Coturnix japonica: one gene and its partners. The protein of the gene in region 1 purifies or fractionates together with the protein of each later gene. This does not show direct contact. Links are inferred from orthologs where the notes say so. Each region holds a gene or a part of one and is shown on either strand. Other genes may lie near its edges.

Evidence for each region.
Region 2: the proteins of CDKN1B (region 1) and CDK6 purify together in Homo sapiens (affinity purification with western blotting; 8 studies listed by BioGRID and IntAct, counting the BioPlex papers as one, with this or other methods). This does not show direct contact. The link is inferred for Coturnix japonica from reciprocal best matches to the Homo sapiens genes CDKN1B and CDK6.
Region 3: the proteins of CDKN1B (region 1) and XPO1 purify together in Homo sapiens (affinity purification with western blotting; 4 studies listed by BioGRID). This does not show direct contact. The link is inferred for Coturnix japonica from reciprocal best matches to the Homo sapiens genes CDKN1B and XPO1.
Region 4: the proteins of CDKN1B (region 1) and CCNE2 purify together in Homo sapiens (co-immunoprecipitation; 5 studies listed by BioGRID and IntAct, with this or other methods). This does not show direct contact. The link is inferred for Coturnix japonica from reciprocal best matches to the Homo sapiens genes CDKN1B and CCNE2.
Region 5: the proteins of CDKN1B (region 1) and CCND3 purify together in Homo sapiens (affinity purification with western blotting; 9 studies listed by BioGRID and IntAct, counting the BioPlex papers as one, with this or other methods). This does not show direct contact. The link is inferred for Coturnix japonica from reciprocal best matches to the Homo sapiens genes CDKN1B and CCND3.
Region 6: the proteins of CDKN1B (region 1) and SPDYA purify together in Homo sapiens (affinity purification with western blotting; 3 studies listed by BioGRID). This does not show direct contact. The link is inferred for Coturnix japonica from reciprocal best matches to the Homo sapiens genes CDKN1B and SPDYA.
Region 7: the proteins of CDKN1B (region 1) and CCNB2 purify together in Homo sapiens (affinity purification with mass spectrometry; 3 studies listed by BioGRID and IntAct, with this or other methods). This does not show direct contact. The link is inferred for Coturnix japonica from reciprocal best matches to the Homo sapiens genes CDKN1B and CCNB2.

Annotation. Positions count from the first base shown.
Region 1 is NC_029516.1:66,307,377-66,311,659, forward strand, and holds the start of CDKN1B (cyclin-dependent kinase inhibitor 1B), read left to right. Parts: upstream 1-1,483; 5' UTR 1,484-2,008; coding exon 2,009-2,483; intron 2,484-2,889; coding exon 2,890-3,011; 3' UTR 3,012-3,020; intron 3,021-3,834; 3' UTR 3,835-4,283. UniProt on the Homo sapiens protein: Important regulator of cell cycle progression. Inhibits the kinase activity of CDK2 bound to cyclin A, but has little inhibitory activity on CDK2 bound to SPDYA. Involved in G1 arrest. Potent inhibitor of cyclin E- and cyclin A-CDK2 complexes.
Region 2 is NC_029517.1:20,819,641-20,823,759, reverse strand, and holds the start of CDK6 (cyclin-dependent kinase 6), read left to right. Parts: upstream 1-1,319; 5' UTR 1,320-1,434; exon of another isoform or gene 1,435-1,544; intron 1,545-1,987; exon of another isoform or gene 1,988-2,098; intron 2,099-2,965; 5' UTR 2,966-3,206; coding exon 3,207-3,439; intron 3,440-4,119. UniProt on the Homo sapiens protein: Serine/threonine-protein kinase involved in the control of the cell cycle and differentiation; promotes G1/S transition. Phosphorylates pRB/RB1 and NPM1.
Region 3 is NC_029518.1:5,218,714-5,222,561, forward strand, and holds the end of XPO1 (exportin-1), read left to right. Parts: coding exon 1-23; intron 24-1,011; coding exon 1,012-1,146; intron 1,147-1,245; coding exon 1,246-1,405; intron 1,406-1,483; coding exon 1,484-1,580; intron 1,581-2,234; coding exon 2,235-2,381; 3' UTR 2,382-3,348; downstream 3,349-3,848. UniProt on the Homo sapiens protein: Mediates the nuclear export of cellular proteins (cargos) bearing a leucine-rich nuclear export signal (NES) and of RNAs.
Region 4 is NC_029517.1:114,473,130-114,477,125, reverse strand, and holds the start of CCNE2 (G1/S-specific cyclin-E2), read left to right. Parts: upstream 1-1,196; 5' UTR 1,197-1,253; intron 1,254-1,547; exon of another isoform or gene 1,548-1,617; intron 1,618-3,009; 5' UTR 3,010-3,033; coding exon 3,034-3,047; intron 3,048-3,138; coding exon 3,139-3,253; intron 3,254-3,409; coding exon 3,410-3,469; intron 3,470-3,996. UniProt on the Homo sapiens protein: Essential for the control of the cell cycle at the late G1 and early S phase.
Region 5 is NC_029541.1:4,749,139-4,753,161, reverse strand, and holds the start of CCND3 (G1/S-specific cyclin-D3), read left to right. Parts: upstream 1-1,223; 5' UTR 1,224-1,325; coding exon 1,326-1,523; intron 1,524-3,034; coding exon 3,035-3,250; intron 3,251-4,023. UniProt on the Homo sapiens protein: Regulatory component of the cyclin D3-CDK4 (DC) complex that phosphorylates and inhibits members of the retinoblastoma (RB) protein family including RB1 and regulates the cell-cycle during G(1)/S transition.
Region 6 is NC_029518.1:10,154,300-10,158,465, reverse strand, and holds the start of SPDYA (speedy protein A), read left to right. Parts: upstream 1-1,366; 5' UTR 1,367-1,734; coding exon 1,735-1,767; exon of another isoform or gene 1,768-1,882; intron 1,883-2,021; coding exon 2,022-2,262; intron 2,263-2,481; coding exon 2,482-2,540; intron 2,541-2,797; coding exon 2,798-2,883; intron 2,884-3,324; coding exon 3,325-3,496; intron 3,497-4,166. UniProt on the Homo sapiens protein: Regulates the G1/S phase transition of the cell cycle by binding and activating CDK1 and CDK2.
Region 7 is NC_029525.1:5,820,795-5,825,044, forward strand, and holds the end of CCNB2 (G2/mitotic-specific cyclin-B2), read right to left. Parts: intron 1,981-4,250; coding exon 1,840-1,980; intron 1,243-1,839; coding exon 1,132-1,242; intron 820-1,131; coding exon 712-819; 3' UTR 501-711; downstream 1-500. UniProt on the Homo sapiens protein: Essential for the control of the cell cycle at the G2/M (mitosis) transition.

The DNA of each region.
Region 1 (4,283 bases):
ATGTTCCTGCTGTATAGCCACTCATGTGCACAGCTAAAGGGAACAACCCAAGTGTCCCACACCTCACATGAGAAGTGGAAAACTCTGGTGGCTAAGTTAAAGACAGGAAAGCCTGGAGAATAAAAAGAGAAGCCCTCGAATGAAGCAGATGAGTAGGTCCCACTTTGCCACCTCACACAGGCTTTTTTTTTTTCTTCTACAGAGTTGCAACTTCAAAAAACAAAGCAAAGGAACCCAACAACCCAGAAATCCCAACAGCAAACACCTAAAGATGCAGACATCAGGATGTCAGCTTCAAGTCTCTGTGAATGGGTAGATCCTGTGGTTGCTGAAAGGAGCTGGAAAACAACTTGTGGTAAAAGTTCTGGCAAACAAAAATAGCAGGGCTGACATTTTATTTCAACCTTGTGTTTTTTAAGTGTTTTTATTTTTCTCTTTGGATGCTCACATCCCTTTTTGAACTCGGTGCTGACAAGAGGCTGACCCAGGACAGAAGGCTGAGCAAGGCAGGGGGCTGCTGCCTTAGGGAAGGAGGCCCACAGACAACCATACTCTGGGGATAAGCATTAAATGCTGATCTTGTTCCCTTTCCAGTGCCTGCACAGGTGAGGCTCCAGTTCAAAACGCACCAACTACAGGGTAGGTTTTGGTGGCCCACTGCAACTGCAAGGCCTGAAGCAAAGTGTGTGTCTGAGTACAGATGGGGCAAAAGCTCCAAAGCTTTAAGGCCACAAGATTTTGGACAGCTGGACTTTGTGGAGGGTGCCAGGCCAGACACTTTGGTATGTGGGGTCTGTAGTATCCAGGTTACCTGGGCCCTGGGGAAGTCCCAAACCTCCAGTGTCTGAAAAGATCCTGCAGTGTGTGGGGCTGTCCTGCTGAGCAAGAGATGCTGACTGTAGTGTGAGTGAGTGTGAACAAGGAGAGCCCAGAGGAGAACCCTGCACTGCTCTTAACTCCAGCGGACCTGCTGCAGCAATCAGAAAAACAGCTCAAAAATCCCTGCCCATGACTCCTGGCTCAACTAACCTTTCAAAACACACAAACTTGAAGGTTTTCATTCTCTTTCCCCTGCTTACTGAGAATACAGCTCCCTGCTGAGAATTCTTACAGCTCCTTCCACACCTGGGCCCTCCTTGCCGGCAGTGCAGCAGAAGCCACCCCTCGCTTTCTCCCTTTCCTCCTGCGGGCAGCACTACGAGGATGCTGGGCAGTGACCCTCTCCCCCGCCTCAGCCGGAGCGCAGCTCCCAGCCCGCCCAACCCTGTGCAAGCAGAGCGATAGCCACAACGAGTCAAAATGCAGCTAGTCCCCTCGACTCGCGTGACTTTCACCAGGCTTATGTTCCGCAGGGGGAGGCGGGCTCACGTGCGCGGAGCGGAGCCGTGCCGTGCCCCCCACGCTCTGCCCGCCCGCCGAGGGGCGGCCGGCGGCCAGGGCCACCTTTAGAGCCGGCGGCGGCGGCGAGGTATGGCCGTGCCGACGGGGCGGTGCCGGCCGCCGTAACCAATGGCTCGGCTCCGCTGTTTAAATAGACTCGTCCTGTCAATCATTTTCTCCTTCGTCAACCTCCCTTCAATCGCCATATTGGGCAACTGAGAAAAGGGCTCGTCTCGCCTTGTTTTTTTTCCCTCTCCGCCCGTACGACGTGGCCGTGGGGAGAGCGGCGGGGCCGTGCGGGCAGCGGTGGGGCCGTGCCGACGGCAGCGCGAGGCCGCCCCCGGGGCCGCGGAGGGCAGCGCCGCTCCCCGCTCGGCCGCTCCCCTCCGGAGCCGCCCGGGCTGCCCGGCGGCGGCGGCTGTCGGGGTTCGGCCGGCCCGGCGCTTATGCAATTGCGCGCCGCCGCCTCTCCTCCGCGGGCCGAGGCGGGGCCGCAGAGAGGGGGCCGTACGGAGACAGACCGCGGAGGAGAACCTGCGAGCGGCCGCGGGTAAGGAGCGGAGAGGAAGAGCGGGGAGAGCCGCGAGAAAGCCCAGCGCCATCGGCGACGGCAGAAAGGGAGGGGGAGATGTCAAACGTCCGCATTTCTAATGGGAGCCCTACCCTGGAGCGCATGGAGGCGCGACAGTCGGAGTACCCGAAGCCGTCGGCCTGCAGGAACCTCTTCGGGCCGATAAACCACGAAGAGTTAAACAGGGACTTGAAGAAGCACCGCAAGGAAATGGAAGAGGCATGCCAGAGGAAGTGGAATTTCGATTTCCAGAACCACAAGCCGCTGGAAGGCAGGTACGAGTGGCAAGCCGTGGAGAAGGGGAGCTCGCCCGACTTGTCCTTCAGACCACTGAGGCTACCCAAAGCCATATGCAAGTCCATCGTCTGTCAGAGCCTGGATGAAAACAAGAATTGCCAAACAGCAATTTGCGCCTCTTCTCAGGGAATCTCAGAGGATACCCACTGTGCAGGCGGGAAGACCAGTGTTGCTGGCGGTCAGACGGACTTTGCAGAGCAGTGCGCCGGGCAGAGGAAAAGACCCGCCGCCGACGGTAACGTACCCCGCGGGCAGCGCCGGGCCCGGCCCCCGCCTCCTCCCGCCCGAACGCCCCCGGTGCCGCCCGCGAGCGCCCGGAGCTCCGCGCTCGGCGGGGACCGCGGGTGAGCGGCGGGACCGAGTGGCGCCCCTCGGGCAGCCCCTCTGCGGAGGAGAAGAGGGGACGCTCCGAGCGCCGGAGTCGGGGCGAAACTAAAACGCGCGTCTCTTTGCCCAGAGAAAAGCCCGTCCGCGCCCACCTTCGCGTAGCCCGGTAGCTGACGTAGGGATGCGGGGACGTGCGGGAATAAGCCCCGGCCCCGTCTCTCCTCCCGCCCCCGGGTGCCGAGCGAGCACCTTGCGGGACAGCGTTTTAAACCGGTCTTCTCCCCCCCCCCTGTTTTTTAATTTTCCCCTCCTAGATTCCTCTCCTCAAAATAAAAGAGCCAACACAACAGAAGAGGAGGTTTCAGAAGACTCCCCCAGTGCCAGTTCAGTGGAGCAAACGCCCAAGAAATCGAGCCCGAGACGACATCAAACGTAAACTCCCCGAGTAGGTTCCCTTCGGGCTCTGGGCATTAGGATGCCTCGGGGGTGTCCGCCCCGAGCTCGGGACCGGGCTTCACGCGGCGTCGTGGTGCTGGGGGGCTGCCCCGCCTCGGCGCCGTTCGCACTGTCCCACCGTGGCAGGGAGCTCCGGCCCAGGAGGGCTCTGGATAAAAGCGGGGCTGAGCGGGAGCCTCTTGGGCTGAGAGAGGAGAGCTTGTGCTCCGGTTTTGTGTTGTTTTTCTCTTTTTTTTTTTATTTTTCTCCTCCCCGGTCGTTGTGGTTTTAGTTTCAGGCGCTGGCTGAGTTTCCAGGGAAGGGAGCGGGTTAATGGCAGCCGTGTGTGGTGTTCTTGTTGTTGTTTTGTTTCAGCGCGAGGGCTGGGGCGGAGGGAGGTGGTACATCGCGCCGGCGGTTTCGGGGCCGGGGTTTAGCGGGAAGGTTTGCGAACGCGGTTCGCGATTGTGCCGAAGAGATTAAGCTGCAAAGCAGAAGTTGCAACAAATTACTCCTGCTGTGGGGGGTGGGGGGGTTAGGGTTAGGCGTCAGCCCTCGCCTCTATGCAAATAGCGCACCACCGCCCGCTCCTTCGGGGCGGGGGCAGCTCCGCGGCCCGGTGGCGGCCCGGCCCCACGGGCTCCGAGCGGAGGCGGCCGACGGCCCTGGGGCGGCCGGGCTTAGAGTGCCGCGGGGCTGGGACGACGCACGGGCCGTGACCGGGCCGGGCCTTCCCTGCTGCGGGGAGCGGTACGAGCCCGTTGAAGGGAGCGCGTCGCTTTCAGCCTCTCTAATGTCTTCTCCCCGTCTTCTTCCCGTTGCAGGGCGGAGGACTCGTGTTTCCTTGCTCATCGGGGGGCGGTGAAGCCAGGAAGATAAACAAACAAACAAACAAAAAAAAAGTCGTAGTAGAGATGAATACATATCGTCGGTCTCCATGGGATGGGGACCCTGTGCAAGCACTGAAAAACAACTTCAGCAAAACAAACAAAAAAAAGCAGACAATAACACTAAAAGTTTAGACACTCTTAAAAAAAGACCTGCCTCTAAAAGCATCGGATGTAGCATTGTGCAATTAGGTGTTTCCTTATTTGCTTCATTGTACTACCTGTGTATATAGTTTTTACCTTATGTAGCACATAAACGTTTTGGGAAGGGGGGGGGGAGTGGAAGAGGGCGACCGATGGAGACTTGCTTTCGCCATCTAGCAAGCAAAGAAATGAAGAGAAGCAGTGTAGGCTTTTTATTCCTTAAAGATGTATTGTCCCTTTAC
Region 2 (4,119 bases), on another chromosome or scaffold:
CGCTGCAAATCCAGATGGAGTAATTACATGCTTCTTTCTGATAGGAATTCTATTTGTTTGTACAGTATTAGATCTATCTATATATAAATATTTAGTTTCTGGAAATCACGCAGCGTATGATGCCATACATACAGCACACACTTTCTGAGTTATAAACTCACTTCGTTAAATCACATTTCCCATTTGAAGGAGACCTGGATCCACTTTCTCCCAGTTCAGCCCTGACAAGGGCTGCCCCCGGAGCCACCCCTGGGCCGTGCCGTGTGTTGGAAGGCACAGAGCTGCCAATGAGGCTCCCCACGTGGAGATGGAGCACATGGGTGAAGCGTTGCCGTATTTTTCTTGCGGTGCATTTTAGTACGATTTGCAGGTGCCATAAGGAACACGGGGAGGTGAGGGGGTTACTTCAGCTGGGGGGATTACTTCAGCAAAACGAGAGTTTCTTGGTGGTTCCCCAAAGTGCGTGAGTGCTGTGTGAATAGAAAAGGGGGGAGAGGGAAAAAAAGAAGGGAAAAAAAGTGGGGTGGGGGTGGGGGGGGAATTATGAGGGGGAAAAAAAATAGGGGGGGAGGGGGGGGTGAGGGAAAAAACAAAGTGATTTTTTGGGGAGAGGGGAAAAAAAAAGGAGGTTATTTCCCGGGGAGGAAAAAGCCCATCGCCCGGCGCGGTGATTTCCAGCTCCCCGCATGTCGCGCTGCCGCCCCGCACCGCACAGCGCCGGGACCCCCCGGGGCGATCGGGCCGCGCCGAGCCGCGCCGCTCGCCGCGACCCTTGCGGTATGCGGGCGGCTTGGCAGGGGCAGATGAAGGATTTCATTGAGTGTGAAGACAGAGAGCAGAGACAGAAAGCAGAAGGAGGCGGCTGCAGCCTTTGTAGTCGGGGAGGAATGCGGAAATGTTGAAGCACTATGTCAAACTTTTTTGAAACGGGGTCAAGTCACATTCAGCCAGCGTGGGAAAGCGGGGAGAGAAAGGGAAAAAGGCTTCGGGAGAGGGGAGGAAAAAAAAAAAAACACAACAGAAAAGCAGCGAGCGCTGCCGCCACCGCCGGGGCTGAGCGGGGCTGAGCGGGGCCGGCGGAGCGGAGCGGGGCGGGCGGGCAGCGGGGCCGCTCCGGGGCGGGCTGCGGCCGCGGGGCTGCGGGCGGCTCGCTGCTGCTGCTGCTGCTGCTGCGGCGGCGTCGTTGCTCCCCGGGGGCCGCGATTTTCCTTTTCCCCGGGCGGCGGGGAAAGGGGGGGTCGGGGGGGGGAGGGTGGGAGGCGCGGGCCGGGGCCGAGCGGGAGCTGCCTCCCGCGCCGAGGGGATGCGGGCCGGGGGCGGCCGGGCGGCGGAGCAGCTACCTGTGTGGCCCGGGCGGCCGGGACCTGCCGGAGACATCGCCATGTGAAGGGGCAGACCCCGGCCGGCTCTCCACCCCGCCTCGCTCAATGGGAGGTTTGTTTTAGGGAGGACTCACCCCCTCCCTCCCAACCCCCCCCCCCCCCAAAGGACTGCGGGTTATTTGGGGAGCCGCCGGCGGATCGGGCGGCCGCGGCGCGCACCAGGTAACGCGGGGAACCCGTGTGTGTGCGGCCGCGGCCCCGAGCCCACGCGCGGCCGGAGCGGGGTCAGCGCGGCGTGCGGGGGGCGGCGGGAGGGGAGGGCCCTGCGAGGCCCCGGGCGGACGGCGGATCGCAGCGTGCCCCCGCCGCGTGCGGGGCCGAGCGGTGTCGAGCGGGGGGCCCGGCTCCACAACGCCCCGGGGGAAGGCGGCCGGCGGTGGCGGCGCTGCGGCCGCGAGGAGCCAGGCCCGCCGGAACGCCGGGACGCCGGGACGCCGCCACGCACACGCGCGACGCGCCGCCCGCCGCCGGGGGGCGCCATTCCGCAGGGCCGGGGGCGCGGGGCTGAGTGCGGGGCGCGGGCAGGTGTCCACACGGCGGGGGGGAAAGGGACGGGAGCGGGGACGGGGAGCGGGGCCGCCTCGGGGCGCTTCAACGGCGGGGCTGGGAGCCGCGAGCCGCGGCCGTAGGTGCCGTCAGGGGATCCCCGCCGAGCTGCAGGGACTATTCCTGCTAGAGCGGCGTGTAGGGGGATGCGGCCCCCGGTCACCGTGTGGGTGCGTTGGTTATGAATGGGCGAGGAGGAAAGGAAGGGCTGCCGTGCCGCTGTGAGCGGCGTTTGCTCGTGGCCGTGCCGTGGCGGTGGGGGTGAATCGGGGCGCAGGGGAAGTGGCGCAGCCCCACGCCGTGCAGGGCAGCCGCTGCTCCGGAGCGAGGCTCGCACCCGGCGCCCGTCCCGCTGCAGTCAGCTGGGAGCCACGCTCGGGTCCTAGTAGTGGATCATTAGGCTGCTGAGGGCCGTGCGTCTGTGCTCCAGCAAACGGTGCTCAGAAACATGCTGGTATCTTACGGTACATGTATGTGTGAATATATACGCGCAGTTCTCCACGAGGCAGGAACGTGCGTTCTTGTATTCTTGCAATGCACAGCACAGGGTAGAGTAGCTCCAAGCTGGAGCCTCTCAGTGCTGCCATTTGCACGTGAGTACTGGCTGTACAGCATGGGATGGGCTTCAGGGGCTCCATGTGATTGATGCCCAAGGAACCAAGGAACCTGAGGAGCCTGCCATACTTAACTGTCCCATGAGTGTAGAGATTCTGTCGTCTAATGGAGGATACCACCCACGTCCCTCAGAGTCACGCTCTGCCCATCTCTCAGAAAACCCCCATTGCTTGGGGGAAGCCCAACCATGTGGTCGCTCTGGCCGTGCTGCAGCCTGGGCACATTGCAGCAGTGACCCAGGTTGTGTCAGCTGTGCAGTGACGCTGCCTGGCAGCCTCTGGTTTGCACCTTCCTTTGTGCGTGCAGCTCTCTGCTGTGCTAGCATCATTTTCTCAGTTTTAAGCCGCGCAGAGTAACAAAGTGAAGTAAAGCACAATGGCACCATGTTCTGACTGCTCCCTCTTGCTTGGTCTCTCCTCCAGATCTATCTGCCTTCGCACAGACCATGCTCCCAAAGACTGTATGATCGTTTCTGGTGACCGCCAGCGGAGGCTCAGTGGGGCCGGTGCAGCGGAGCAGGAGGCCGAGGGGTTCCTGCTGCCCCTCAGGCAGAGGTGGCGGCGTGTGGCTGAGCCGCAGTGAGGTGCCGGCTTCAGAAGCGAGCAGAGAGCAGAGCTGTCCTGAGCTGCTCTGGATCCCAGGAGGAAGCGGAGTGGCGGCAGCATGGACAAGGACGGCACCAACCTGGCCGACCAGCAGTATGAGTGCGTGGCTGAGATCGGCGAGGGGGCCTACGGGAAGGTGTTCAAGGCCCGTGACCTGAAGAATGGCGGCCGCTTCGTGGCGCTGAAGCGGGTGCGGGTGCAGACCAGCGAGGAGGGCATGCCGCTGTCCACCATCCGGGAGGTGGCCGTCCTCAGGCACCTGGAGACCTTCGAGCACCCCAACGTGGTCAGGTGAGGCAGCGGGGCCTGCTCTGTGCTGCATGTGCTGGGAAAGCAGGTTTGGGCGCGTGGAGGGCCGGCTCACCGATGGGCTTTGTGGGAAGAGCGAGAGCTCCTTTATGCACATGGAGTGTGGTTTGAGGTTTCGACAGGCCGCGGGGCTGTGCCAGAGCTCACCTCATCCCCGTGCTGCCTCCCACACACACAAACACCCATCTCCAGAGGCATAGGCGTGTGACAGCAGTGCTGGGGTGGATGGCAAGGAGCCCCATACACACCATTTCCTCAGGCGTGAGAGGGAATGAAAACCCAAGGGCTCCCTTTGTCATAGGTATTAGCTCTGACAGCTGCAGCTGATTCTTAACGTCTCATTCATTACCCAGAGATCATGGTTGTAGCATTAGTGGGATGTGCATTCCACTTCTTTAGATGCTTTTATTAATGTTTGCAGATCATTGTGTTAAAGAGGAGGAGATGCCTAAGTCTGAACTTTACAGGCCCTGTGAGTACTGTTTGTTGGTGAATACCCCAGGAGGTGCTGGTGGTGCTACCGAGAGTGCAGCAGGATGAATGCAGGCCTTGCTTCCAGCATGGTGGCAGTGGCTCCAGGTTTCCTTGCTGTTGTGTTGGTTGTGTAAGCTCTGAGTGAATGAGCTCTGTTCTGGGGCAGGTTCCCCATGCAGAGACTGGCT
Region 3 (3,848 bases), on another chromosome or scaffold:
AATGAGAAATGTTGCAGATACAGGTAAATTGAGGTTTTAAGTGTTAAGCATGTAGATTGCTGCTTTCTTGCATTTTTAGTCAAATATAGTGTTCCAGTCACACTGTATTTGCTGCAGAAGAACAGTATTTTCCTATCTCAATTTCAAGTTGACAACTAGACACCCATTAACGTACTGAAATAGTTGGATGTTTTTACTCACAGAAGAGGGCATTTGTTTCTGCGTGCTTTCTCTTTATAGAGTGTGAGGTTTTTTCTGAAATGGCTGAACCGATGCAACAGCTCATAGCTGGTTTTCTGCTTCAGCTTTCATTGTGCTGTTTGGAGTGTTTAACTTCTTCCCTCACTTAGGCAGTCTCTAAGTTACTACTGAAAAAGACAGCAGAAAAATGGTGAGTGAATTTGGTCTGGGAGACAGCTATGACATAAAGCAAGGGAAGTACTCCAGACTAAAGGAAAACTCCTTTTGAACAACAGCAAGTTACACTTCATCTCAGGTTTCACTGAGAAGCTATTTTTAGCACACCTGAGTAATTAAATGTCCTCTAGGATGAGAGTTCCCAAGAAAGGCTAGGAAAAGCTGTGTAAATGTCATAAATTCTGAAAGCATCTCAACCACAGGATAAAAATGATTGTTTTGAAGCTACCTCAATACTAGCTAATTGTTTATGTTTGTAAGATGCCTTTGTGTTGCATTTCAGGTATTAAGGTAACTGTTGGTGTGATTTTTTCCCTTCCTGAATTAACTAGTATGTCTTCATAGAGTTTCTCACTTTTGTACCAGTGAAATCATGTGGTTGGCTCTTCGTGGTTCTGCCTTCTAATAATGAAAACCATGTTGGTGCTCAGTATAAATGTGGCTGCCGCCCTCTACTGGCTGCTTGAATGATTAGTTTAAACTGCAATGCTTGTCAGAATTTCTTGGGATGTTTGTCTCACTTTGAAAAGACTTAAGGATGAATGGAGCTTTTGGTATAGTTTGGTTCATTTTTCTTTTATGCAAATTTTTCAGGACTTCAGATACTTTACACTCTGCTACAAAATGTTGCACAAGAAGAGGCTGCTGCTCAGAGTTTCTATCAGACATATTTCTGTGATATCCTTCAGCACATCTTCTCTGTTGTAACAGATACTTCGCACACTGCTGGTAAGATTGTGAACCAGGTGAAAACAAGCCTTTCAAACATCATAGTAATGTTGCATTTCTTGTTCTGAATAATAACATGTATAATTTTGATCTGTTCAGGTTTGACAATGCATGCATCAATCCTTGCATACATGTTCAACTTGGTAGAAGAGGGAAAAATAAGTACTCCATTGAATCCTGGAAATCCAGTGAACAACCAAATGTTTATTCAAGAATACGTTGCTAATCTCCTCAAATCTGCATTTCCTCATCTGCAAGAGTAAGTGTCCTGTAATTGTCTTATACTTTTGAGTGGATACTTACATACTGAAGTACTAATGGATGTATTTGCTGTTAGTGCCCAGGTTAAGCTGTTTGTAACAGGACTCTTCAGTTTAAACCAGGATATTCCTGCCTTCAAGGAGCACCTAAGGGATTTCCTGGTCCAAATCAAGGTATGTTTGGCATGGTTTCTTAGAGAATTGTAAAAAATATGTAGCAGGATGATGTTTTTAAGTTTTTGGACGGTGTTCATTTATAATAGGGCATACATTTTATTACTACTTAAAATTGTCATGGCTCGAGGGTCTAGATACTGGATCATGTAATCCATTTCAGTGTAATTTAATTGTATAGGTTAAGTTTAAATGCATGCTGTTGCTTATACATTGGTCATACTTACAGGTCTAAAATGGCCATAAAGCAGATCTTGTTTCATTTCTGCTTGGGACTAGGGTGTGTTTTGAAAGTTGACAGACTAGTGCTCTGCTTTTATTTTTCCAAAGATGCTAAAATTAAAGATGATTGTACGAAAGTACATGTTAAAGATGTTCTCAGGCTACGTTAGGTAGATATTTCAAAAACTGTAAAGAGACTGTTTTAATGATAAGGTCAAACAAAAAGCAATGTTACTGTACCATGATGCATGGTGAATATCTTAGAAATTTTTGTCTTAGAATCTGATCTTACATGCTGGAAGCAAAACAAGAAATAGTCTGACAAGGATGCGAAGGGAAGATGTTACCAACATTGTTTTTGATATTTTCAGAAGCTTATTGCTCTTCCTGATGCAGTTAAAGTGAAGTAATGGTTTTGTGTGAATTGTGCAGGAATTTGCAGGTGAAGACACATCAGATTTATTCTTGGAGGAAAGAGAAACAGCCCTTCGACAAGCTCAAGAGGAGAAACATAAACTTCAGATGTCTGTACCTGGCATCCTTAATCCACATGAAATTCCCGAGGAGATGTGTGATTAAAAAACAAGTTCTGCAGTTTTCTTTCTGTGCAGCCACTTTGTTGTGACAGAAGAAAACGGCACTTGGATATTTGTTGACCAAAATGACGCCAATTTGTAAATTAAAATGTCACCTAGTGGCCCTCTTTTCTTATGTGTTTTTTGTATAAGAAATTTTCTGTGAAATATCCTTCCATTGTTTAAGCTTTTGTTTGGTCATCTTTATTTAGAATTGCATGAATTGAAAATTATTGCATTTTCAAAGTAATTATTTCATGCCCATTTTTGTGGCTAAGGGGAAAATAGGCAAAACATAAATTGTAAAGGACTATATTGCAAAACTATACAATTTCCTGTAAGAGTATCAATTTTTAATTTGGGATCATTTTCCTTCTAGCCTGCTCTACAGTCTAGGAGAAAAAGTAATGAGTAAAACAGTTTTAATTAATTGTTAAGCAGAGGATTATAGTGCTGCAATTTTTCTGATCAATTAGCAGCTTTTTGGATTTGAGTGGGTAAAGGCTAGGCTTACATGTATTTGCAAGTTGTATGGCAAGTTTGCAGCAAGATCATGTGCATATCATCCCATTGTAAAGCAACTTCTAAAGCGTATGGGAACACAGTACAGTTAGTTATTTTTACACAGTTCTTTTGTTTTTGTGTGTGTGCTGTCGCTTTGTCGACAACAGCTTTTTGTTTTCCTCAATGAGGAGTGTTGCTCATTTGTGAGCCTTCATTAACTCGAAGTGAAATGGTTAAAATATTTATCCTGTTAGAATAGGCTGCATCTTTTTAACTACTCATAAAATAAAAAAACCCTCTGGCTTTTGAGATGACTTATACTAATTTACATTGTTTACCATGCTGTAGTGCTTAAAGAACACTACTTAAAAGCAAAATAAACTTGGTTTACATTTATTTTTCTTTCTTCGGCTTATTCTTTTATTGGATGAAAATGCTGTGATCGTATTAAAGGTTTGTATCCTGAAGGCATAGGAAATGGTCCTTGAGGTCTAGGTTACCATTCTTTCTGATTTCTCCTGATCTCAAGGCTGAGCTTGAAAGCTAACATGAAACAAGTTGGGTTCTATTTGAAAGTGTAGTTTTGACTTAACACCATGACTAAAAATACTCCATACTACATTGCTATAGAATGCCAGTAATAAGGTATTCTTGCTCTCAATATATGTACTCTTTGTGTTCTATTCCAAAGAGTTATTGAACTGTATCTTGACTAGAAATTCATACTGGTACATATTAATAACACATATAGACCAGATGTGCAGTTATTTTTCTACCTAAAGTTTTGTAGTTAAATAATTTTCACAGACGTATGAAATTGAAATACAGGTGAGAAAACTTCAGTGTGAACACTAAGATGGTGTACAGTCTTGATTTCCCCATGTTTACAGCATCTCACTTCTGTTCTCTAAGAGCTGACATTAAAGTATCCCATGGGTTTTCATTATTTTTTGTTCTTTCCATTTAT
Region 4 (3,996 bases), on another chromosome or scaffold:
GCATATACGGCAGCTTCTTTCCAGAGCCACTTTGAATTTGTAGCAGTCTTTTTGATATGGAAGAATGTCTCGCTCTTATTTTTACTAGTCTAACACAAGCCGAAAGCTGACAAAATACAGCACCTTGCCAAAAAGTAGCATTGCTTCACGGTGTGTATTTACTGAAGTGGTCTTCTGTATTTTGTTTCCATGGTGCGTTACGCGCACTGTGGGGAGACGTGAACTCAATAAATGGCCTATTAAAAGTGTCAGCCTTCTGTCCTGTCTGTTCAATCTGAAATGGATGGGTGTCGCATTGGGGTGTGCTTGACTTTTCTAATTAGGGCCCAGAGAAGGCCTTCCCGTGAACCATTGTTTCTCAACTCAACTTCTTCTCAAGAAGCATTTGAGCAATGATCTCAAACAAGATTTGGTCACAGAATGACACGGGTTGGAAGGGACCTCAAGGATCATGTAGTTCCAACCCCCCTGCCTGGCAGGGCCACCAAACATACACATTTACTAGATCAGGTTGCCCAGGGCCCCGTCCAACCTGGTCTTGAACACCTCCAAGGACGGGGCATCCACAACCTCCCTGGGCAGCCTGTTCCAGGGCCTAACCACTCTCCTAGTGAAGAACTTCCCCCTAACATCCCTTCCCTCAAGATTTGGTCTTTGAGTGGTCCTGTGTGAAGCCAGGTCTCGATGATCTTTGTGGGACCCTTCCAACTTGAGTATGTTATGATTCCATTACTCCTATAATGGCAGACCATCTTTGTGAATGACTTGGCTGTTGGAGCAGAATACCCGTGCACAGCCTTTCTAATACGGGAAAGCAGCTTTCGGTCTGATTTATTCAGGTAACAAGGAGAGGCCGTTCTCCCAGTTGGATGCACTTCTTGCTGCTTCAGACGTGTGGAGCGGCGGGACATAGAGGCGGTGCCCGGCGGTTGGCTCCTTCCCCTCAGCACCGCCGAGTCCGTGGCGCCCGGAGCAGCGGCTGCGTTTGGCCGCGCTGTGGAGCCGCGCTGACAGGAGGAGCGGCCCGGCCCCGCCTTGGTGCTGCGGCGGGAGCGGCGCGCGGCGCGTGTTTACATTCCGCCGCCGCCGCACGTTGTGGCCGCGATGCGCGCTGCCATTGGCGGGATGGAGGCGGCGGCTCCGCCCCGGGGCCGGGCCTCGCCGGGAGCGCGGCGTGCGCGGAGCGTGGGGCCGGTACAGCGGGTGTCTGCGGGAGCGGGGCGGCGGGCAGGGACGGTGATGCGGGGCCATGGGTACGTGCGTGGGGACGGGGATGGCGGGACGGGCGGGGACGGCGGAGCGGCCATTCCTGCCTGTACTACCGCGGGTCGCCTTCACGGGGGAAACCGAGGCGGGCAGAGCCGGGGTCGGGCGGGCGGCGGCGACTGCAGGGTGCCCGCAGGATGCCCGCAGGGTGCTCGTAGGGTTCCCTCAGGGCTCCCTCCTGATGCCCGCCGGGCCGGGGTGGGCGCCGCGGCCGAGGGGCGGCGCTGGGGCAGCGGGGCGGGGGAGCTGTCTGCCGCCCTCGCACATGCGCAGCGCGGGCGCGGGCCGCGCTATATAGCGGGTTGGCGCCGGCGGCAGGGGAGCAGCGCGGGTCGGGCGGCAGCAAAGGAGGTGAGCGGGGAGCAGCGGGCGGGAAGGAGTCAGCGGGGTGCGGTGATGGCGGGATGGGGGGGATGGAGGCATGGGGCGCTGGGGATGTTAGGGGTGTTAGGGGTGTAAGGGCACTGGGGACGCGGTGCGGTGCTGGAGCTGCGCGGATCGGTGCGGGGCGGTGCGGCTCTGAGCGCTGCGGGTGCTGCAGAGGCGCGGGCGGGAGCGGCGGGCGGCATGCGCGCCCGGTCGCCGTTTTGGAGGGAGAGCGGCTCTGGCGGAGCGGTGCAGGCGCCCATCCGAGCCCGCTCAGCCCCGCATCGCCCCGCTCAACCCCGCACCGTCCTGTTCAGCCCCGCTCAGCCCCGCACTCGGCGGGATCCCGTCCCGGCGCGCTGCCCTCCCTCCCTCCCGCCGCCGATGGGGGCGGGGAGCGCCGTTGGCGCGCTGACCCCGTTTGCCGCCCGCCCGCACCCCGCGGCGCTCCGGGCCGGCCGCGTCCCCCAGGGCGAGGCCTCGGCTCCGCGCTGCCCCCGTTCAACACAGGGACGTGTCCCCTGAGAGGAGCGTCCCCGCCGTGTCGGGGTGTCCCCGTGAGCGCGGGATCCCCGTGAGGTGGCGGCGCCGTCCCGGAACCCTCCCGCGTTTTGGAGGGAGCCCGGCGCGCACCGAGGCGGGAGCGAGAGGAAGGGAGGGAGGGCCGAGGTCCCGCAGCACAGATACCCCGTGCAGCACAGACAGATACCCCGTGCAGCACAGACAGATACCCCGTGCAGCACAGATACCCCTTGCAGCACAAATAGACACCCCGTGCTGCCCCGCCTGGGGTTGATCGGCGCCTTCCGCGGGGACCCCAAGTTTGGCCGGCGTTCTCTTCTTCCCACCCCCCAACCAGCCCCGCCTGAGCCCCGCTCGCCCCGGGGCCGGCCGAGGCGCGGCGCTGAGAGGCCGCCTTCTCCTCCTTCTCCTCCTCCTCCTCTGCTTCCCCGCTCAGCAAATTGGCGCGGAACCCGCGCTGAGGGGCGGCCCGGCCCGGCAGGTGGGGGGTGCGGGAGGGATCCCCCTTTGTGTAGATGTGTACGTGTGTGTGTGCCCCCTCTGTGCCCTTTTACATGGGAAAGGCCGTTTTGCTGCTTCCCCCCCACACTCAGGTAGGCATAGGAGCTGTGTAAAGGAGCGTCCATCCCTCAGCGATGCGCTGTGGGGATCTGGGTTTAGCATCGTAACACCCCCAAGGGATGTGGGTGCTTGTGAAGCACAGGGATATCGTGCAAGGTGTGCCTTGCACTGGTCAAATAACAGTGCCCTGCTTGGGTTGTTGAGCCATGTGAGACTCAAAGCAACACAGTTGCACTGTGTTAGGGCACAACTTTGAGAATATACCTTAATTTGGTTGTTATTCCTTTGGTCCAGGTAGACAGATCTTACCGCCCGAAGATGTCAAGACGCAGGTAAGCTGTCTGCATGGTGATACACCCACGTGCCCTTTGCTCCCCTCAAAGCTGCTGCTCCCTTAACACTGAGTGTCTCTGCCCCTTGCAGCAGCCGACTGCAGGCCAAGCAGCAGCAGCAGCCGCCGCTGCTGTGTCAAGAAGAGACTCCACGTGAGCTGCAGGCACCGGAGCTTCTCCAGACCAGGAAGAGGAGAACAGCAGAGGTGACCCATTCAGTTGACTTAATACTGCACATTATTCTGGTCACTGGGATGGGGGTCACCTTTCCTCCACAGAAAGGAGTAGCACCAGCTTGCTGTGTTGTTAGAGATGGGTTTGCTGCTCATTGTCAACCTATTGACTGTGTTTTCTTTATTCAGCAGGAGATTAAGAAGAAAGAAGATGGGAAAATTGCTAAGAAACATCAATATGAAATTAAGGTAATTTTACCTCGATATAAAGCTCTGCAGGAAATGTTCCTGTGTTCATCGGCAGGTTTTGTTATCCTTTGTATAAGGAATCTCCCTCTTTCCAAAGACCGTAATTGAAGCTCAGTTGTCACCATTTTGAAGGCTGTCAGCCATTACAGCTTTGCATATGCTTCATGTGCTTAATCAATACATGTAGGGAAGTATCATGTGCAATGAGACAAGTTGCAGATTTAGCTGAACCAACCTAGAATTCTTTCTCTGAAGCTTTCTGCGTGAAATGACTTCAGACTCCTTTGAAGACACTGAGTATTTGGCATTGGCGAGCTGAGAGATAGTTCACAGCTGGGGGGGTATCAGGCTTTGGAGCTGAGATGGGTGGCTCCTCCCTGGAGTACTTGGAAGATAACAAGTTGCAGAACTTCCCCTAAGACAGCAGGACCTCCACCCTCTCCTTTCTTTTCCCTCCACATAGATAAGTAGATGGGACCAGCAACATGCCTTGTTGTTACAGTGGTCTTCGTCTTGCCTCTCTTGCT
Region 5 (4,023 bases), on another chromosome or scaffold:
CTTACCCTAAACATACGTACAGATGTATAACTGCAGAATAACTCCAGCAGAATTGGTCAGAGCTGTTCCAGCTGAATCCTCTTTAGATGACGCTGCATCCCAAGAGTCCTCAATTGCTACAAACTCCATCATTCTGTTTCCTGCAGAGTATGAGTAATTATCTTCCCAGGGCTGCAGGTAGATTGCTGGTGTGAATTGGATTTGGGTTTATCTCCATCCAGTTCTGTGTATCTTCCCTCAGCGCAGCCAGAATGTGATGCATAACACTCTGTATTTGAATAAGTGCCCCATGCAGAGATGTGTTACAGGAGCGTGTGCTGCAGGGGTGCTTCATTTCAAAGGATAAGGCAGTTAGAAGTGTCAGGAGCAAAGTTGAGACATCCCAGTTTTTGTAGACACTTTGCAACTGTATGGAGCAACATGGGCGGGCGTGTATCCTGCTGCCTTCAGCTTCCCATGCCACAAAGCAATTGCTGCTGTGCCACCTGCAAGTATCTGAATGAAGTAGCAGCTCATAACAAACCCTGTGCTGCAGGAGCACATTGCAAATTCATTAGAAAGACTTGAGCGACCCTGACAATTCCTGAAGAAGTTGCTCAGGTACAATTTGTATAAGTATTTCCAAACGATTGTTAACTGTTCTGAACAAACAGCAGAGCCCTGAAGGGCCTTATCTGTGCAGACACAGGCTGCTATCTGCTGAGGAGCTGCACCACTCACAGCGTGAGGGCAACTTGTGGAAGGCAGCAGCGTAAGTACAGACTGGCACCGAGCTGTGTACGCGGCTGATTATTTGTGTAGCCTTGAAAGACTCTGGCCACAAAAAGCGGGGAAAGGAATAGGAGTAAATGCTGAAAAATTACTGTTAGAAATGGTAATTACGGGTTTGACGTGCATCCCTTGGGAGCCCGGGGACTGTTCCTTTGGAGTCTGCCCGGACATCCCTCACCCTCACGTGCACCTCGGCCTCGCTGGGGTCAATGCCGAGATCAGCTCCCGCAAACTAAACGGGCGGGGGGGCAGACGGCCACGGGATGGGCCGAGACGGGTCCGGGATGGGCCGAGACGGGTCCGGGAAGGTCCGGGACGGCCGCTCCCCCCAACATGGCAGCGGTTCCCGCGGCCGCCCCACGTGCTGCCGTCCCGCCACTTGGGGGGGTGGGCGTGTCCAGCTCCGGCTTTCGGCGCGTTCCATCAAAGCCGCGCGCCGATTGGCTGCGATCGCCGAGGCCCCGCCCCCCCTGAGCCGAGGCCCCGCCCCCCCGCGCGCCGCCCGCTCCCGGCGTGTCGCGGCCGCAGCAGCGGAGCCGCGTCGCCCCGCGCCCATGGAGCTGCTGTGCGTGGAGCCCGCGGCTCGAGTCCCCCGCGCCGGGCGCGACCCGCAGCTGCTGGGGGACCGGCGGGTGCTGCAGAACCTGCTGAGCCAGGAGGAGCGCTACAGCCCCCGCGTGTCCTACTTCCAGTGCGTGCAGCGCGAGATCAAGCCCTACATGAGGAAAATGGTGGCCACTTGGATGCTGGAGGTACTGCCCCCGTCGGCGCCTCCTCTCCGCCTCCGCGCTCGGCTCCTGGCCCTGGCTCCGGTGCTTTCGTGCGCCCGTCGTCCCTCCCCGCGAGTCCCCGCGCTGGCGGGAACGAGGCGGCGAGAGGCGGGGAGCGGAGCGGCTCCCGGCACGGCCCTTCGTGGAGCCTGCGGGGCGGCCGGGGGACGGCGGAGGAGTCGTGTCCGTGCTGTCCGTACTGTCCCTATTGTCCGTGCTGTCCGTACTGTCCGTACTGTCCGTGCTGTCCGTGCTGTCCGTGCTGCTGTGGCTGTGGCTGCGGGGTGAGGGGGGGGAGCGAAGGGGCAGCGCTTGTGCTGGAAGCGATCGCCCGAGCGGGAGGAGCGGAGCCCCGAGCCGCAGCCTGTGCACCCACACGCGCTCCCGGTAACGTTGTGGGAGCCCCATCCGCACCGCGCTCCGTAACGTGTCCGGGTTGGGGCTGAGCGGCGGTGGCGGTGCCCAGGATCGCGTGTCCTGCGCGGGGCTGAGGACGCCTCGTTAGAAGGGGGAAATAATATCGCTGGCGTTTCCTTCCCTAAATGAGAAACGAATGCGGCTCTGTGGGATGCGCTGCAGTGCGGGACGCCTTAGGGGACCTCTCGGTGCGGCGGCCAGAGCGTGCAGCCAGCACGGGAAGAAAGAACGTTGTGCAAAAAGCAGATGACTTTGGATGGAGCCCAGTGCTGGCAAAAAGAAACGATGGGGCACGGTGCTTTTAGCGAGTCTGTCTGTCGTTCTTCCTATTAGCGCTGTCCTGTTCCTGCAGTTCCCTTTCCGAGGTTAGTTAGACAAACGCTGCTTTGGAGCCTGTTGCTGGGGAGCTCGTAAGGCTGTCAAAAAGTAGGAGACACCTGGCACTGCTCCCAGCGCTGTGTGCAGCCCATGCAGGGCTGCTGCTGGGGGAGCACAGTGCTCCGTGAGGAGAAACTGCTGTATTTGTATGGCTGTGCTGGGAAAAAGGAGTGAATGTGACCAGGGTTGTGGTGCTGAGATGGGAGCAGAGGGCTGGAATGGAAAGCCCTGGTGTTCTGCTCATGGCGGTGGTGCCAGTGTGGCTGAGGAAGAGTTGGGGGCTGGCAGGGGATGCTGCACAAGCTGCTCTCCAGCTGGGTGCTGCTGGCAGGATGAGTTTTCCCCCATCGTCCCAGCTCTCCAAAGCTGATAAACTGGCTGCAGGCATCTGCAGGAGGAGTTAGGAGGCTGCAAATAGGGCAGTTGGGTTCTCTCTAACCACATACAAGTTCTGTTTTCTGCAGGAAGATGAATGTCTACAGCTTTGGTAGAATCTGTTGCTACTGTGGAAGCTGTAGACTTAATGCTTGTAGCTCATTTGCACCTTTGCGCTGTGGTGCTGTCACAGCCCTGCAGATAAGTGTGAAACACCATCCTGACCAGACCCTTTGAAGCTGGTGCAGGCAGGATTTGGGGAGTCCGGTGCTGATTAAAGCTTCCTTTTTTTTTTTTTTTTTTTCTTAATTGTTTTTTCTCAGGTGTGTGAGGAGCAGAAATGTGAGGAGGAGGTGTTCCCCTTGGCCATGAATTACGTGGATCGCTACCTGTCTTCTGTCCCTGTGCGGAAGAATCACCTGCAACTTCTGGGTGCAGTGTGCATGCTGCTGGCTTCCAAGCTGCGGGAAACCATGCCCCTTACAGTGGAGAAGCTCTGCATCTACACAGAAAACTCCATCACGCCTCAGCAGCTCCTGGTAACCACCCCTATCTCTAAGGGACCTCCAGCCCCTCCCTCGCCCTTCTATCTCCTGCGTGCTGCTGCTTGGCAGCATACCTGTCCCTGTGTCTCCTTGTGCTTTTTGTCCCATTTTTCAACCTTCCTCTTGGTTCCCCAGCCAACTTTCTCACCTCTCTGGCTTGGTGGGTTTGATGTCTGTAGGTGGAGACTTTTCTCTCCTTGGCACAGCCTCTCTCCCTCTTGTGGGAAGCAGGATTGTCACCTCCGCATTACAGAGAAACTTCCTGTGCCTTATGTGCTGGCTGCCAGCACAGAGCTTGCTCCTGAGTGTGCTCCTGAGCAAGCTGTGGGGAACAAAGGCCCTGTCTGCTCTGCGGCCGAGCAGGAGGCGGGCACTGGAACGTGCCCCTCTGCTCCGTTCCAGTTGCTTTGCACCCTGCTCCTGGGCATGGCAGGAGAGCTGCATTGCACCCTGCTGGGGAAGTGAAGCCTTAGGAGCTGTTACCCAGCAGAATGGGTGGGTGCAGGATGACTGAGGATCAGGCTTGTTGTGCTGCCAGTGCTGCTGAGGTGATAGCAATGCTGGCAGCTTGCTTCCCAGGCCCTGCTTCCAGGTCTTGAGTTAAAGCAGGGCTGCTCTGCTTAGTCCCATCAGACACTTGGGCAGTAGCTGCATAGGCTTGGAAAGGCAGAATGTTTTCTTGTCTGAAAAAAAGATCCTAACATCTGAATTCAGCTTAGCTGATAGAACCAGAGAACCCCTTTATATGGGGACCTCCCTTGCTGCTG
Region 6 (4,166 bases), on another chromosome or scaffold:
CAGGCTGAGAACCGGTTAGGTCCTCTATAGTGCACAGGATTTACAACCTGGTAAAGTTTTGATTCCTTGTTTTCACCCTGTTAAAGAACTTCTTACTGTGTGCCCAGTAGAGACCTGCATGTAAGATACACAACTCAAGAATATAAAACAACTGTTCATTTGCAAACATACATAATGCTTCTAGGTTGGCATTAGTAAGCTCATCACCTCCAAAGAGAGGCCAGAGCACCCTTCACAACTTCAGTTTCCTCAGAGTCTTGAGATGAAGTTACAAGGCTGGTCTGTATTACAGCTGAGTCCTGACTCCTGGGAGGTGGGAGACTGTGCAAAAGGGTTTACAGAGAGTGGACAGCAATACCTCTAGAATCTGCTTTGTAACCTCTTTTTACCTGGCACTGTGCGGAATACAAATCAGACGATGCAAAGAATAAGAATGTATCTACTTCACAGTTATTATTGTAGCTTTATGTTTTGCAATCCTACCAATCAATCCTATCATGTGTCACCTGAGAAAAGAGAGCAGACCTCCCTGCAGCCTCCTTTCAGGCAGCTGTAGAAAGAAAGGAGGTCAGGAGGTGACCTGAAGGATTCTTCTTTGAAGAATTCAGACTGAACTGACCCAGTTCCCTCAGCTGGTCCTGACATCTCATTTTCTACATCACTCAGCACTTGGCCACACTGAACATCTGCTTGTCCTTGGATAGAGACAAATCATACAGAGGTGCTGGGAAAGGAGGAGGATAGAGTACCTTGACATTTCCCTGTTGCATCCCAGTCTGCTCCTGCCGTGAGACAATTTGGCCTCGTGTGGAGCCCTGCCTTCTTTTGATGCTCAATCAGCCTAATCACATCTTTTCACTATTGCTTCTTTTTCTGAAAGCATCTTGTTAAAATGGAGGGAAGCTTTTGCAGTGTGACTAGACAGCTGGTAACGTTAAAGCTGGGCCAGGTTTCAGTTGCGTTGAGGGACATGGTTTAGTGGGAGCTATTGGTAATAGGTGAATAGTTGGACTGGATGATCACAGAATCACAGAATGACCCGGGTTGGAAGGGATCATGTAGTTCCAACCCCCCTGCCTGGCAGGGCCACCAAACATACACCTTTACTAGATCAGGTTGCCCAGGGCCCCGTCCAACCTGGCCTTGAACACCTCCAAGGACGGGGCATCCACAACCTCCCTGGGCAGCCTGTTCCAGGGCCTAACCACTCTCCTAGTGAAGAACTTCCCCCTAACATCCAACCTAAATCTTCCCTCTTTTAACTTAAAACTATTTCCCCGTGTCCTGCTATTGTCAGCCCTTTTGAAGAGTTTACTCCCCTCCTGGGAGTAAGTTCCCTTCAGGTACTGAAAGGCTGCAATGAGGTCACCCCGCAACCTTCTCTTCTCTAGGCTGAACAAACCCAACTCCCTCAGCCTGTCTTTTAGGTCTTTTCAAGCCTTGGTGATTCGGTGATGCCTTTATGGAGGGTAGAGCTTATTACAGTGGTTAGAGCACCAGCGCCACACAGCGCTGCGAGGCGGCCATTTTACCGCAGGGGGGGGCACCGGGCCGCTGGGACCAGCCCACTCCCTACCTAGCAACAGCCGTGCCTTCGTCTGATTGGCTGGCAGGGCTCCGTGGGAGAGCCGGCGGGCGGGGTAGTTAAGAACCGATTGGCTGTTTGTTCTGTGAGGTGAGGCGGGGCTGTGCCTGAGGTGGTCGGTGTGACGGCGCTCGTTGGGCGGGAAGCGAATGTCACTGTTGTTTCTCGTGAGAAGCTTTATCGTAAGTGTGGCAGCTGAGTCACAGCCCTCCACACAGCCCGCCCTCCGGTGGGCTCTGCTGAAACAGTAAAGCCACTTCATCCCGATGGAAAATAGCTTTCCTGACGCTTCCCCTGGTATCTTCGTGTTTATGGTTACAAAGGAGCTAAAGGAAAACCAGCTGCCTAGTACTGATACAGCTGATGATTGTATCAGCGGCTGCTGGGTTTGAACAGCACGGAGCAGTTGTTGTAACTAACTCAATCCTTCCCACAGGAACCTCTGCTTGCCGCAATGAGACACAGCCTGGTGTGTCACACGCCTCCTGCTGCTCACCTAAAGCCCAGCGCCTCCAGGACCCAGCAGCAAAAAAAGCCGGTCAGAGCGAAGCGGCTTTCGTCCAGAAACCGTCGAGAAATGTGTGAGAAAAGGGTTCCGAAAGGCACCTCTGGACACCCAGCGGCGTCGTGTCTCGTTATTCAGCGTCAGGAAATGACGGCTTTCTTTAAGCTCTTCGGTAGGTCGCTGTTAGATACCGATTGACTCAACTGTGGAGGACTCTCAAGGAAGGATGCTTTGTAAACTCAGTGATAATATGGGGAGTGCTGTTGATATAGGTACTAACAGCCGTGCCTTAGGTTAAACGTGTTCTGTTGTTAAATTCCAGGGTATATTTAATGGTTAAGTTAAATGCAAAGAGGCTAAACCGATGTGCTGACGAGCATCTTTGTTGTAGATGATGATCTAATTCAAGACTTTCTATGGATGGATTGCTGCTGTAAAATTGCAGACAAGGTAAATGTTAGTAGTTAATGCAATCTACCTTGAGTGAAAGTCTGCTCTTAATCACTTGATACTATGATATCAGTTGTTTTTTTCCTAATACATCTTTATGGGAGCCTTGAGAAAACTCAATTTAAGCTTTCCTTGTTGATAAGACACAACACAGCATTTTGGTGTGAGACAAACATTCCAAGAGTTTTCCGTAGTGTTATATCGAATTAATACATTAATACTTAATAATAAATGTGACGTTTCACATTTTACAACAGTATCTTTTGGCAATGACATTTGTTTACTTCAAGAGGGCTAACTTCACAACGGAGGAGCACACCAGGCTCAACTTCTTTGTTGCTCTGTAAGTACTCATCTAGTTTTATTAGCAAAGTTTTGGCATTACTTTGTTGCTTTTTGATGACTCTGATACACAGTAAGATGACATGACCAGTTTGTAGTGCTCTGGGTTCTATATGAAGGAAAGAAACATGATCTTCACATTAGATTTGCCTACAGAACTCTTGATCTCTGAGCTTTGTGTGCATTAAAATAAATATGCAGTAAAATCAACACAGGACAGTAGATGAGAGATGGGAATGTCTCATGTTTCTCTTATAAGACACCTCGTTTAATGTTTTTGCAAGCTTTCATGTCGTTTGCTCTGAAATGATTCATAATGATGAACAACTTGCTAAAACTTCCCAAAATATTAGGAAAAATAACTACTGTGTCTTTTAGTGTTAGAACTCACATTCATGTACCGATTCAAGATTGAATAACAGGCACAAACATATATTTCAAGGTATCTGGCAAATAACGTGGAAGAAGACAATGAAGAATCAAAGTATGAGATTTTCCCGTGGGCTCTGGGAAAAAACTGGAGAAAGCTATTTCCTGATTTCTTAAAGTTAAGAGATCATCTATGGAGTAGAATTGACTACAGGGCTATTGTAAGCAGACGTTGCTGTGAAGAGGTAGGGACAGTTTTAATACTGTAGATGCTGAAACTGCAACAATTAATAGCAATTCACAGGATGGCTCCACGCTAACAATTTCCTCCCTAGAGTGAGTAGATAAGCCATGGGAAGGAAAAGATGGAGCTTATCCTCCATCGTTTTTTTTTCTTCTGCATTCAAAATACAATCAATCTTTGAAACAATGCTTATAAGGTAAGCTAGACTATTCTGTTATGCTACTGTTTCAAGCTTTAAGGACAAGAATCTTTCTGCTTTATGCAAAGAATTTTACTTGAGATACATTATTAGCTGCTAAAAGTCATTCACTGTAGCAATTTTTTGTATGCATCTTCACTTTAACAGATTTCAAGTCTGTACCCAAAGTGAAACCTTAACGTTTCACCTGAGGTGCTATTTGGCTCTTTTATGAGTTAACAGTGTAACTTGAATTGACTTGGTCAGGCAATGGTTTTTCTTTGCATTTCAAAAACAAAAGGACATGCTGTTAACGCGCTTTGTTAATGCATTGTTACAACCTCTATTTTACAAATGTACTGGGGGAAAAAGGCATTCCCTGCTTTCCAGATGGCATCTGTCTGTCTGAAAAAGCGCTGCTGTGTTTGAAGATCATAACGTTCATTACAGCTGGTGGAAAATCCGTTCAGCAGCTCATCTCTGGGAATGGGAT
Region 7 (4,250 bases), on another chromosome or scaffold:
TTAAATGTATTTTAAGTACTACATCAATAGAAAGGCATGAATGAAGCAAGGCAAAATAACTGAGGCACTTACAATGCTTGTACTCCTTTGAGCATACCATTAGTTGTGACTATAGAGGTTTTTTGCTGCCTCTGCTCTTTCTTTAGGCATACAAAGATAGAAAAATGAGTTGTCCATCATCACTCTAACTACGTAAACACAAAGCCTCACAAAGCTGTCTCTGTTACAGCCTACTTCTTTCCCAAGCCTGAAGTCAAACTACTTTTTGAATACTTCTTTGAGACAACACACTGCGATAAACTAAACAACAAACATCCCTTAAGGTACATCAAGGGACAATTAACAGCCTGCCTCTCTTCAAGAGTGAGAACAAATTACTAAATATAACCCACTATGAAGCCAGATTATCACCAGAAACAACCACAAAGAATAATCACCCATGTCTAGATGCAAAGCGCATCAGCCACCCACTCTGACAAGTGTCCTACCATAACATCAAATGGCAGGCAGAATTGGTTTGTTTTATTTTTTTGAAAGAGGAGCTTTATTTCTAGGTATACAGTTGCAGTACAAAGTAGGTTTAAAACTTGAGAGAGAGTCTGAAATGTTGGTGGTAGGGCTGGAATATTATTTACACAGGGCAGTAGTTTTTCCTCAGTAGGCAAATGAGGAGGATGACACAAAGTGCATATATCATCAGAATATATCTACCTAGGGTTGTAAGAGTGATGCAGCAAGGTCCTTGATAGCGTTACACTTCAGCTGAGGGATTGTGCTGATCTTCAGGAGTTTGCTACTTGCATACTTGTTCCTTACAGCCTGCGGAGGAACAGTGTTACAGGAAGTTTACACACATGCACAGTTCTTAAATCCAGGCAGACGATTTTGAGTTAGTCTGACTGTTTTGCAAACAAAAGAAAGTAAGGGGCAGAAGTAAAGCAGCAGGCAGAGCAGCAAGAGTAGTTTAGATAAAGAGTTTTGATGTTAGTACTCATGAACAACTTTTCAGAGGCTTGTCAAAATAGAATATGCTGTAAGGTAACATATAAAATGTTCATCTAGGAAACCACAGCATGCAGTAAAGGTGACTTTCTAAAGCATCAGAAGACTTACTTAAGTAGATGTACTTACAGTATATTTTGTTAAGTTCTCATTTACTTTGACGACATTCTTGGCCATATGCTTCATTGTCATTGTAAGACTGTCCTCTGCATACCCAGTATAGTACTGCTGCTTGGTACCCTGCAGCACAACATAAGAAATGTGGCCTCTATAAAGGGGGAGAATTTCGCTCAAGACACAATTATTTAAGTTCACTAAAGCCCCAGGTATCAGCTGCTGGCCTTGAGTGCTGGGAGTTGTAGCACTGACAGATAAAAATGCAGATACAGAATAATGTTTAGTATGCAGTGGAAGACTAAACACATCAAAGCTGAGTCACATTCCCGCACCATACAGAACAAAAGGATGCCTTGCAAAAGTAACTAATAGCTGAGGTACGATTCATTATTCACGGTCTATGATTTAGTCTAGCTTTCTTGCAAGCTACAAAATCGGTATCTCCTTTAAAAAAGAAAGTAAACCTAAAACCCAAACCAAAAAGATACAGTTTGCTCTCCTGTCACTCAGTTTCATAAGAAAAAACATCACTGTATCATGGCATTCATATAGGAAAGAGTAAGCTTTATTTTCAGTGGCATCATCATTTTATATTAGCTGTGCATCAGCCAGTCATTTGATCTCCAACAATTCTGCTGAACTATTTCCTAAAGTATTTTTTAAAGGGTTCAATTCAATTGTATGGATGAAAACCCCCATGATTTTCATTACAACCCTTACCCACTTATCGTGGCCCAGAACCTTCTGCGACAAGCACAAGGCAGCAGCTGCGATCTCTGAAGGGTGGTAGTGCACCATGTCGTAGTCTATCAGCGTCAGTTCCATGAGGTATTTTGCTAGTGTATGTTGCTCAGCATCCGCCTACCAGAGCGAGAGTTTGTTAGTCTCGCTCGCATGGTTTCACCTGCCTTATCGTAATAAAATTAACCACTCTGAAGTGTCAACTTACAAAATGACTTGGAAAAACAATAGTAAACAACATTAATGAGCAACTGCCTCAAAATTCTAGACCTGTTGTGTCTAGCAGCCTTTGGAATTTGAACAGTCTCAGGAGCTTTTAACACAAAATGACAGTATTGAGCTCCGGGTGCCCAACTAGGGCTACAAGTGCGCCCACTACAGCAGGCACATCCAGCCCATGGCCCAGCAAACAGTGCAGCCATCTCAACTCTTCACCAGAGCAGCCCCACAGACACCCATTGCTCAGCAACAGCCAAACCATCAGTGCTCTATTAATACTGTGTTGACTGAAAGCGTGCTTAGGGAAAGCAGTAGTGATTCAAGTGATGGCAGGTAATTGTATACATTTTGATTGGCTAAATGCACTGCTCCAAACAACAAAGAATATGCAGCTGGGCTTTCCATTTTGATACAGGTGGCTGAGAATAGGTCTCAAAAACTCACTGATTTGTGATCACAACACCCTTTTCAGTTGATATAAATACACTACGTGCACATTTTCAAATTGAATAAATGGAGTTACAATCAGATATTGAAAACAAGAAATCTGATCACACCTCTTTACCAGACTTCTGTAAGACCTCTTATGAGAGAAAAATAATCCTTCACTTCACAACTCTTGTTCCCCACTGGTGAAAATGCACAGCTAATGGTGATGGCTACAGTGAAGGAGACCATTTTCTAGCTGAGAATTTATTCTACCAAATAATGCTATTGAGCTCTTTGTACCTGCTGTACTTTTCCATGGAATTTAATAGAAGGCATTATTTTTGGAGTAACTTATGCTTATTCAGTCCAAGATAATTCCTCTTAACACAGACCAGGCAAGCCAAAAGGTTGGACACCCATGCTCTAGAGGGTGGGGGAAGACTATAAAATGCATTAAAAGAGATTTTCATTAGGAATTCAGCTAGCTTTAGAAGTTACACAGAGATCTATCATAGTAAATCTCTGAGTCCAACTCAAGTGCCTGTACACCAACATGTGGAGCATGGGGAACAAGCAGGAGGAAATGCACGCATGTGCATGACTACAGGGCTACGATGTCAACAGAATCACTGAGATGAGGAGGGATGACTCTCACAACTGCAACACAGGAATAGATGGGTATAAACTCTTTCAAGAGGCGGGGGAGAAAGGGGGTGGGGGGGTGCTGCTCTCTACATCAATGACCACCTGATGTTCCTGGAGCTCCACCTACAGATAAAAAAGGAGCTGACAGCTTATGGGTTTGGGTTAAAGGGTAGGAGACATCGTAGTGTGGGTCTGCTACAGGCCACCTGATCAGGAAGACTGAGTGGATGAGGCCCTCTATAAACAGATAGGAGCAGCTTCACATTCACAAAACATGGTCCTCATAGGGGACTTCAACCACCCTAATATCTGTTGGAAGGACAACACAGCAGCGCACCAGAAAACAAGGAGGTTCCTGGAAGGTGTTGAAAGGGTGCTCACCAACAAGGAAGGGTTGGTAAGTAACGTGAAGCTCAAGGGCAGCCTTGGCTGTAGTGACCACAAAATGGTGGAGTTCAAAATCCTTAGGGTGTCAAAGAGGATGCACAGCAAGCTTGTTACTCTGGACTTCAGGAGAGCAGACTTTGAAATATGCAGGGAACCACCTAGCAGTGTGACATGGAAGGAAGTCTCAGAGGGAAGAGGAGCCACCAAGAAAGCTGGTCGGTATTCAAGGACCATCTCCTCCAAGCCCTGAAGCAGTGCAACCCCATAAATAAGGAGGCAGGAAAAAAGGCCAGGAGGTCTCTAAGGATCAACAAGGAGCTTCTGCACTTATGTAAGTTCAAAAATAAAGTCTATGGGGAATGGAAGCAGAAACAGGTTACCTGGGAGGACTACAAAGTTGCCTGAGCAGACAGAGATTAGGTTAGGAAAGCTAAAACCCAGACAGGATTATACCTAGCCAGTAACATCAAGGGGAACAAGAAGAAATTCTATATATACTCTATATATACACGTTTTGTCTTTCATTACCCAGAAAGCAATGGAGCACTGGAAGAGGTTAACAAATAAGTTGTAGAGTCTCCCTTGTTAGGGGTACTTGAAAGCCACCTGGGTATGATACAGGCAAGCAGCTTCAGCTGCCTCTGAGCAGGGCAAGAATCTGGACCCAATGGCCTCCATGGTCCTTTTCAACTACAACCATTCTGCAATTC